2 linked regions of the Schizosaccharomyces pombe genome follow. The gene in region 1 interacts genetically with each later gene. Each region holds a gene or a part of one and is shown on either strand. Other genes may lie near its edges. The genes, in order: nup131 and sec28.

Evidence for each region.
Region 2: mutations in nup131 (region 1) and sec28 together harm fitness less than expected from each alone (positive genetic interaction), as found in Schizosaccharomyces pombe (one large-scale study listed by BioGRID).

What each region holds. Positions count from the first base shown.
Region 1 is NC_003423.3:972,440-978,753, reverse strand, and holds nup131 (nucleoporin, WD repeat Nup131), read left to right. Parts: upstream 1-1,907; 5' UTR 1,908-2,121; coding exon 2,122-3,582; intron 3,583-3,616; coding exon 3,617-3,710; intron 3,711-3,751; coding exon 3,752-4,137; exon of another isoform or gene 4,138-4,176; coding exon 4,177-4,531; exon of another isoform or gene 4,532-4,572; coding exon 4,573-5,705; 3' UTR 5,706-5,732; downstream 5,733-6,314. Other genes in the region: ilv1 (acetolactate synthase catalytic subunit), read right to left, coding at 1-1,645; serine/threonine protein kinase (CK1 family) Cki2, read left to right, coding at 6,306-6,314. UniProt on the Schizosaccharomyces pombe protein: Functions as a component of the nuclear pore complex (NPC).
Region 2 is NC_003423.3:2,325,491-2,329,143, forward strand, and holds sec28 (coatomer epsilon subunit protein), read left to right. Parts: upstream 1-1,983; 5' UTR 1,984-2,015; coding exon 2,016-2,046; exon of another isoform or gene 2,047-2,090; coding exon 2,091-2,926; 3' UTR 2,927-3,011; downstream 3,012-3,653. Other genes in the region: put2 (delta-1-pyrroline-5-carboxylate dehydrogenase), read left to right, coding at 1-1,412. UniProt on the Schizosaccharomyces pombe protein: The coatomer is a cytosolic protein complex that binds to dilysine motifs and reversibly associates with Golgi non-clathrin-coated vesicles, which further mediate biosynthetic protein transport from the ER, via the Golgi up to the trans Golgi network.

The sequences.
Region 1 (6,314 bases):
CATCACCATCAATATCTATAACAATATCTTTAGGTGCAGCAACGCTAGCACCTATGGCAGCTGGGAGACCAAATCCCATAGTACCGAGACCACCGGAGGTTACCAAAGAACTAGGTTTTGTCCAACGATAGAATGTAGCGGCCCACATTTGATGTGCACCGACACCGGTGGTAATAGTGACTTTGTCCTTTATGTCAGAAGTTTGTTTGTCAAGTTCTTGAATGACTTCTTGAGGCTTTACCAATTCACCAGGAGCGCTACGAGTGAAAGTGAAAGGGAAGCGTTCCTTCCATGTTTGAATTTGAGATAACCAGTCAAATCGGGAAGGAATTTTAATATTTTTAGTAGCAGAATCTAAAAGCTTTAGAGATTCGTATACATCGCCCTCTATTGCTTCAGTAGGTTGTACGACCTTACCGATATTTTTGGGTGAAATATCAAAGTGAATAATACCGCCACGCTCTTCGGCAGCAGCAAGACGTGCTTGAGGAGCAAACAAACTTACGTTACCGGTGACACGGTCGTCAAAGCGAACACCAAGAGCAAGGATAAGATCGGCTTCCTGCATGGCCATATTAGCGTATCCACTACCATGCATACCGAGCATATGCAAACTAAGGTCAGAACGTTCATCTACAGCACCAAGTCCAAGCAAAGAAGTAGTAACAGGAATTTGCAGCCTTTCGCTAAACTTGCGTAACAAAGTGGGGCATTCGGGATTAGCTAAAACACCATGCCCACAGAAAATCACAGGCTTCTTGGCTAATTTTAGTAAATTGGCAACACGATCGATCTTGGCAGTAACGTTCTTGGAGCCCTCTTCTAAGACTTCCTTCATTCTGCGATTCATTGATGGTACAGAAGACAGTATAGGAATGGGCTCCTTCAAAACGCTAGCAGTGACATCTTTGGGAAGGTCAACCAATACAGGGCCAGGGCGTCCAGAAGTAGCTATCTCAAAAGCTTCGTCTATACGACGGGGAAGATCAGCAACATCTTTGACCATTACATTCCATTTAGTACATGAACGAGAAATACCAACCATGTCAGCTTCTTGAAATGCATCACTACCAATTGCGCTGGTTGCTACTTGACCAGAGAATACAACTAGGGGAGTACCGTCGGCCAATGCATCAGCAATCGGGGTAATCACATTCGTAGCACCGGGTCCAGAAGTAACCAATACAACGCCGGGTTTTTTAGTAACGCGGGAATAAGCTTGGGCTGCATGTCCAGCAGCTTGCTCGTGTCTTGGCAAGATAAATTCAAAATGAGGAGATCTATAAATTGCATCGAAGACAGGCAAGATAGCACCACCTGGATAACCAAATACATGCTTAACATTATGCTTGAGCATCATATCATGGAAAATTTCACCCCCAGTCTTTCCAACAAACGAGCTGTCATATTTTATAGGACTAGCCGTAGTCACTGTAGAGGTGCTTTTGGTCGAATTTGCCCGAACGACACCGAATGCATTTTTTAATTTTTTAATTCTCAAATTATTACTAAAGCCGGTGCCATACCTCCGCACAGCTGAGCAACTATTTAAATTTAAAAATCTCTTTTGAAGGGCAATTTCTCGTCCATAAGACGAGAAAGCCGCCCTCGTATGCAATCTTCTAAGGGGAGCCAGCACAGTCATTATAAATAACTTTTAACCCTCAATTCCTTTCTAGAAAGAGCTATCTTTCAAGTTGCAAAAGATCGGTATGCTGAGCGGTATGAGAAGTGAGCAGGTTCATTTTTGCCTAAAAACATTGGTTGTTCACCACCACAAAAAAGATCAGATTTGTTAACGATAAGTACTGTACCCCGGAGATTAAATATACCGATGCATAATACTATACCCTTTGAAGTCGTGTTATTATTCTTTAAAAAGTTCAGATGATGTAGGAATACAATTTATCTATTTATCCATGTCTCCTTAATTTTTTAAACATTAGTAAATGCTGGAAAACGTCAAATAAATTTTTCTTGATCCTAAATTATAAGTTTCCTATCGATTCAGCTTAGAAAATCGTCAGAATTATCTTTGAGCATAATCTGTTTAACACGTAAGAGATCTTAGATACTTTCGCTTTTTTAAACATTAGTGAGCCTCTTATTAGAGGAATTGCAATGTTTATTGTACATCGACGGTTTTTTCAAAATGAAAAAGCTTTTACGCCTGCAGGAAAACATGAAAAAGTTGCCGACGGAAACAAACATGAGACATTAGCTACTTCAGAATACCCGAAAGTCTGTGCATCAAATGACTTGTACAAAATACTCCAAATATCTGCTCCTAAGGTTGGCAATTTTACAATCCATGATGCGCCAGTTGTTGGACTAATTGACTCTATTTTGGAATATTATTTGTATATTAGTGTCAAAGTTCGAAAGGCATGGATTGCTGGTTATGGAAGTCAGCCCCAAAACTTAATATGCTTTGATTGGGAACGTTTTACGGGTATTCTAGATCAGCAGAGTCTAAATAGCCCACCGTTAGCTGGATTTGTTAAGCCAGATCCAACATCAGCAGAGCCTGGCTTTTTACTTTTGTGGCCTGCTTCGGGCGACCTTTTCTACTGGGAAAGAACTTCTTTGATGAACGTTGAGGTTTCTGCTCCCGAATTTCCTGGTTTTCTTCATTACAGGATTCAACTAAAACGATATGAAAGCTGTAAAAATTTGGTTAGTGCTGAGCCTGCTGGCTTTTTCCTTACTCTGAGTTCAGGTCGGTTGCTTCATCTGAATTTAAAAGATAGCGATGGCAATTCCTCTATTCAGGTTCGAATCCTATTTCCTGGATTGCACATCCCCAACTGCTTGCTGTCGTTATACAACAGTATCTTTGCATTTACTTCAGGAAGAGTTATTCCAATACGTTGTGGTTCAATAAAAGGACCTGGTGAGAGATTAGTTTATTCTATGCATTCTGGAAGCACATTGCGAATTTGGGAAATATTCGGGACTGGTGATCACCACTTGTTACGTGGTTTTGACATTTATGATATAATTTTAGATAGTATTCAGGAATCCTTTTCCTACGTAAATCGATTTCTAATCCTTGATTTTTCTGTTTCAACCTCGGATCCTTATACGTTAGCTTGTTTGGTTTCCTGGCGTGATAATGCTTCATTATTCAATTATGCTGCAATCATTATTTCTTTCAACCATCAGATGATACCTCATGTTTCACAATTCTGCCATGTACGCTCATATCTTTCTGCAATTCTTCCATCAGTGTGTCGAATATTTTTACCAAGTCCAGGTACAGTTGTTTTTTGCGTCTTCGATGTCACTTTTGCTATGTTTCATAAAGTGCGAGGGAAAGAAGGCACTTTTTATGTCGAAGAAAACCTGGTTGTGAACAACCTAACTTCCAAATCTCGGGTTTTGGATTTTGGCATGGAAGATGCGATATATGAAAAATCTACGCACACCTTACTAAAAACTCCAGCATTGATCTTGTTAACAGAAGGGCATGGTATAATCCGAATTGAATCTTCTGCTAGCTACCTGAAAACCAGCTTTAGTGCAACCACCTATTTACGAAGTCGTCTCTCCCAGTTTGCATCGCAAAGCCCTTTGTTCCGTGTAAGTTGTTAATTCTTTCGTATCTAACATATAGGAACAATTTTTGTTAAATTTTGACTTTACATACAACCTCTCTGAAAGCGAAGTCTATAATACAGTCTTTAATCTTTGTGATGAACTTTATACGAGTAAGATAATTTTTTCATGATATATTACTAATTGCAATCAGCGCCATGTAAAAAAAATATGTCTGTATTAGAAACACTACATTCTCAGCAACGTGACTTGATGGAAATAGTTCTTGTTGCCTTCAAATACCTACATTTATCTCCTTCTAATAGACTTCAATTATGGCTAAAAGTTGCCTATTGCAGTGCTTTGGCAGACCTATATGAATTATTGATGTGTAATGAAAAAATGTCTAACTTGCTTCGACGAGTATTGAAAATAATGTCTTCAAATGATAATATTGATGAACTTTTTTTGAAAAAGTGCCTGAATATAAATTTGTTATTACAGCATTTAAGCTCGGAATATTCTCAAATATCTGGCCAAGATGCTAGCAACGCACAAAAAAGAATTGAAGTAATAGTAAATGTTAATAACGTTTATGGGGTATGTTTCTTATAAAATAACGAGGTTTACTAATATTAGACTATCTTTGGAAATGAGCTTGCTTATAGGCAAGAAAAAATATCAAAATTTACTGATCCATCCTCTGTGATTAGAAGCGACCTTTGGACAGTTGAAGTTGATCACTTAGATTTACTACGAAAACAGATCGAAGATTCGATATCATTGCATCGCGATGTACGTGACTCGAAAGATGCACACATATTAAAAGTCAGTAACAAGCTTCGGAAGCAGATTTTGCATCTGGTGGAACAAAATTGCCTTTTGATCTTTGATTTGCACAATGGAACAGATGATACCATAGTAAAATCGCATAATTTTCAAAAATTTGAAGAAGAATTTGGCAATTCACGAAAAGAATGGTTACAATATTTAGGTAAGCTGTTTCTCACTTTCTTGTTTCCGCTAACAAAGAAGCTTCTGTCGGATATTTGGAAAAGGCAATCGACTTGGCGGAAAAAGTTAAAGACTTTCAGACAATGGTAATTTTGCTGGATTGTCTAGATCCAAAGGATCCTACCATTAAGCTTCAAAAGCAAAAAGCATGCTTAAATAAATACAAAGAAGAATTCGCAGATGTAATTTTTTTTTATTTGGTTGATACAGAGCAGTATGCGTCTTTGCTTCATGATTTCTTGGAGTATCAATCACTTTTAATATCTTTTTTTGAAGCCAATGATTTATTGAATCTTTTGTGGATATTTGAAGCTCAAAATGGAAATTATGGACGAGCCTCCGAAATTCTTTTCCGTGATTGTGAACCAGAAGAAAACAGGATTATCGGTAAAATTTCGCAGTTAGCTCTAGCAAAGCTCTACTCATGGACTAATAGAATTGAAGGTGAAAATATCATATTGTCAAATGAGACTGAGGTGATTGAAAATCATTTAGCCATTTTGCTTATTCAAGAGCAATATGCTGAAATGCTTTCATCACTTGTGGATATTACAGAAGACGAGGGAGAAGCTGTCGAAGCAATAGTAACTTCCAATTGTGTAAATCTATCAGAAAACTCTATCAGAGCCTGGCTCGTGTCTAGTGCTGTTGAGCGATTAATTCAAAACGAATACACTACGCTTTGTGAGATGGTAGATTTCTTTTCTTCTTTTTCATTACGGGAATGTTCATTCAAAGAAGTTGATTTGGCCTTAGAGTTATTAGAAAGAGCTACAATCACTAAGGACGTGTATTTTTACTTAAAAGATCTCGTATATCGCCGTTTTCTATTACAGGTGAACTGGGCAGAAATCATCGATGCGCATGAAGATTTAGAATCTTCATTTTTTCCAATGGTAAAGGAAATTATGTTAGAATCAGACTTTTTAATATGGTTACAACATATGGAACACAATATTCACGACGAAAGTAAACATTACTTGAAATCGGAAAAAAATTTTTTGCAAAGTGTATATTCTTCACTTTCTGAGTCGCAAGTGGAAGATTATCAAATGGAGCTTTTTCGTGAAAAGCAAATTTTCTCAGTACTATGTAAAGATAGAGAGTTATACATTCTGATTCCGAAACTTCTGGACGTAGCAACAAAACAATGAAATGAAATTTTGCTATATATTACTTTACATTTCCTCAGTAATCGATAAACACCTGTTTAAACCTAGTACTACTTATGTTTGTATAATCTATCGTATAGCCTCAGCTCCGACAACTCCGTTTTTACGATGGTAGATGCTAGATAATCACTGGTTAGAATATTTACGGCTTAAAATAATTAAATTTTTTTATTATAGATTCTTGATTTATTATGATGATTGCGCCTTCGGGGCTTTTTCCCTGTCCTGGATAGCCTCACCCTTACGTTGGAAATTAAGCTAAGGCCTAGTGTGTTGCATCCAAGTACACCTTACAACTAACGTCCACTAAAACACTCAAACCACATAATCATTTGTTAGTCGAAAGAAAGCCTGTAACTTCTATTAAATTATAGTAATTGGTTTTCTAAATTTTGTTGTTTTTGGTCGGCTACTGAATCGCAATTGGACTTCAATCTCTGTGGTGAATGCAGTGAAAACAAACTGAGATTTGTGTGGCATTTGTTAGTGAGGCTACAAATTGACTACATAAAAACTGCATAGTCCTTGCAATAAAAAAAATTTTATCTGTTCGGTCAATTCCTTGTGACAGGGTTATTTATCATGAATTCC
Region 2 (3,653 bases), 1.4 Mb from region 1:
GTGCCAAGCACGTTGAAGATGCCATTGAGGCAGCACTTCGTGGAAAGAAGGTCTGGGAATCCTTACCTTTTGCTGACCGTTCTGCCATTTTCTTGAAGGCTGCTCATTTGATAAGCACCAAGTACCGTTACAAGCTCATGGCTGCTACAATGATTGGCCAGGGTAAGAACATCTGGCAAGCTGAAATTGACGCTGGAATGGAGATCATTGACTTCCTTCGCTTCAATACCAAGTATGCTAGTGAATTATATGCCAGCCAACCTCCCGAAAACACTCCTGGTGTCTGGAACCGTATGGAATATCGTCCTTTGGAAGGTTTCGTTTATGCCATTACTCCTTTCAACTTTACAGCTATTGCTGGTAACTTGGCTGCTGCCCCCCTTCTCATGGGCAACGTCGTTTTAATGAAGCCTTCTGACCATGCAGTCCTTTCTAGCTACATTGTTTACCAAATCTTCCGTGAAGCTGGTCTTCCCGCTGGAGCACTTCAATTTATCCCTGGTGACGCTGTTGAAGTCTCCAAGGTTTGTTTCAACCACCCTGAGTTTGCTGGTCTTCATTTTACTGGTAGCACAGCCGTCTTTCGTAGCCTTTGGGGAACAATTGGCGAGAATGTTGCCAACGGAAAATACCGCACTTACCCCAAAATCGTCGGTGAGACTGGTGGTAAGAACTTTCATCTTGTACATTCTTCCGCTGAAATTAAGAGTGCCGTTGTTAATGCTGTTCGTGCTGCTTTCGAATATCAAGGCCAAAAGTGCTCTGCCCTTTCTCGTCTTTACGTTTCTAAGTATGCTTGGGAAAATGGTTTCCGTGATGAGCTTACCAAACAGGTCAAGTCTCTTAAGGTCGGTGCTCCTTTAACTGATTTTGCTAATTTTGTGGGCCCTGTTATCCATCAAGCAAGCTTTAACAAACTGAAGAAGGTTCTTGAGAGTGCTGCTTCCGATTCTGAAATTGAAGTTTTGGCTGGCGGTAAAGCTGATGATTCCGAAGGTTTCTTTGTTGAACCTACCGTTTTACTTTCTAAAAACCCTAAACATGATATATTCGTTAACGAATTGTTCGGCCCCGTACTGTCTGTTTATGTATATGAGGATGACAACTTAGACGCTGTTTGCGATCTCATCGATACTACCACTCCTTATGGTTTAACCGGATCCATCTTCGCTCAGGACCGTGTTGTTGTCAGAAAGTTGACTGACCGTCTCCGTAATGCCGCTGGTAACTTCTATATCAATGATAAGTGTACTGGTGCTGTTGTTGGTGAACAACCTTTTGGTGGTGCTCGTGCCAGTGGTACTAACGATAAAGCTGGTAGCGGAATGATTCTGTCTCGATTCGTTTCTCCTCGCTCCATCAAAGATACGTTTGCTTATGCAGACTCTGTTTTATACCCTTCCAACTTTTAAGTTTGTTTTGGCCTTTTTGATTTGGATTTAATTTTTAGAATTTAGATAGACATTGGAGTTGTAGAGTGTTTTACTCTGTACTTTGATACTGCCATAAAAAAGACCACAACCTTTTTTTTTTTGGGTTTAGTACAATATGTGAGGAATAAAGGAAGTATATATATATATATATATTGATTAGTTACCTTGAGTTAAACTCAAACTTTCAAAGGTAGTCTAGGTTTTACAATTTTTTTTTTTCTTTTTTTTTAAAGCTCGCCATTTGTTATTCTAATAAATTATAATGTTCGCTTTGTTAACATGTATTGATTTATAACACTAGATTTGTTGCATTGTATATAAAAGCCAGTGGACCAAAATGTAGTTTGCTGGTGATTCTTGAATACAACAACGACCTGTAGAAAAAGGATCTCAATTATCGAACATTTTACTTGCTGACTGCGAAATATATTATATTAGGCTTCGGAGCAATTAGAAAAATTACAAGTCTTGATGGAAAGTTCGTTTGCTTTACATTTTGTTGTAGGGTTACTCATGTACAAACACCATTAACCCACATACTCTCTACTCCACACATCGCCCAACATAATTAAAACTTTTAACATGTTTTCATGGGAGGCTAGTTTATCTAATGGTAAGAGATGAGTTGGGAATTAAATAACAACTAATATTTGATAGAACTGTATTTTGTTCGTCAATACTTTTATAGTGGAAACTATACAAAGTTATTTGAAATTGACACGACATCCATGTCTGAAAAAGGTCTTGAATTGACCGAAATTTATATGGCAAGGGCAAAATTAGCTTTAGGTGAAAGTTTAGAATCAATCCAAAGTATTTTAACTCAAAAAACGCCTGGATCAGCTGCTATTCTGGCGCTGGCTGGGGAGGGGAACATGGAGTTAATTATTGACCAGCATGGCAATTCAGACAGTGTGGTACAAACATTAGGAGCTATTTTTCAAATTAAAAATGGTTCTTTTGATGATGCAATGGATTTATTAAAGAAGTCAGTAGAGAACTTGGAGGCGGTGGCGCTTCAAGTATACATTCATTTACGAGAGCACAAAATTGAAGCTGCTGAACAGACATTGAAACAGGCTTTGGATTGGGCTGATGAAGAAATTGTACTACAGCTGGCACAATCTTGGATTAAAATAGTTAGTGGAGGCGTCGAATCCTATAATGATGCATTTTATGTTTTTGAAGAGTTAAACGGAACTGATAGCAATCCAATGACTTTAACTGGTATGGCGTGTGCAGACATATGCTTGTTGAGACCTGAAGAGGCTTTGAGCTCGCTGAAAACTGCCCTCGATTCTCAACCAAATTACGAGGAGGCACTATCAAATATGACTACTGCAATCACGGATTTAGGCCCTGATGCTCCTTCTCAAGCCAAGAATATACTTTCATCTTTTACAAATTCTTCTACACTGAAGTTGAACGATCATTTAAATGAAAAGGCGCAAGAATTTGATACTTTTTCAACTCAATTTTTGAGTACGGCTTAATCCAATAATAATATTGTTTAGAATCTTCAATCCATTAATAAACTTCAAATGTTTGCATTTTTAGTATTTATTCATTGACTATTGCTTCACTCAAGTAATGGCTCGTTGATCTGTCTGGCAAAGCAAGTCAATCCAGTATTGCCTCGATAAATTTCAAGTTTACCAGAAGTAAAGGTATTAAACTAATTAATTAGAAATACTTAACCGCATGCAGAAGAAGACTCATGTAGACATAATAACAAGAAAACGCACCCGAATATATCTCGAAATGAAACATTTAAATGAACGCCGTCACAACAGGAGCGTCTTTAAACCGTTTACTTTTATTTATCAAATACATTCATTAATTAAAAATGAACTATTATGACTATCCACCTATATATTTGTTTTTAAAAATCTAGAATAGGTGGTTCTTGTCCAAAATTACTCAAAACCTGCAGTGCCACAAAATGACAAGCAACAAGTTTGCCTTTACAAATAGAAAAGAAAGATGTTTTGAAATACACAGGTGTTTGGAATTTGGAAAAAGCAAGAAAACCGATATTAAACGATAAGACTTTAAGAATCGAAGATGAACTTGCTCAAACGGCAGTGGCACCATGACAGATTACAACTATATATGCCAACATTTGCTTAACCCCAACATGTATCAAAACTCTTTAACTAGCAAACGTTCATTTTTGCGACATCGAACACTTAAATAAGCATGTATGAACGTATCAGTTTG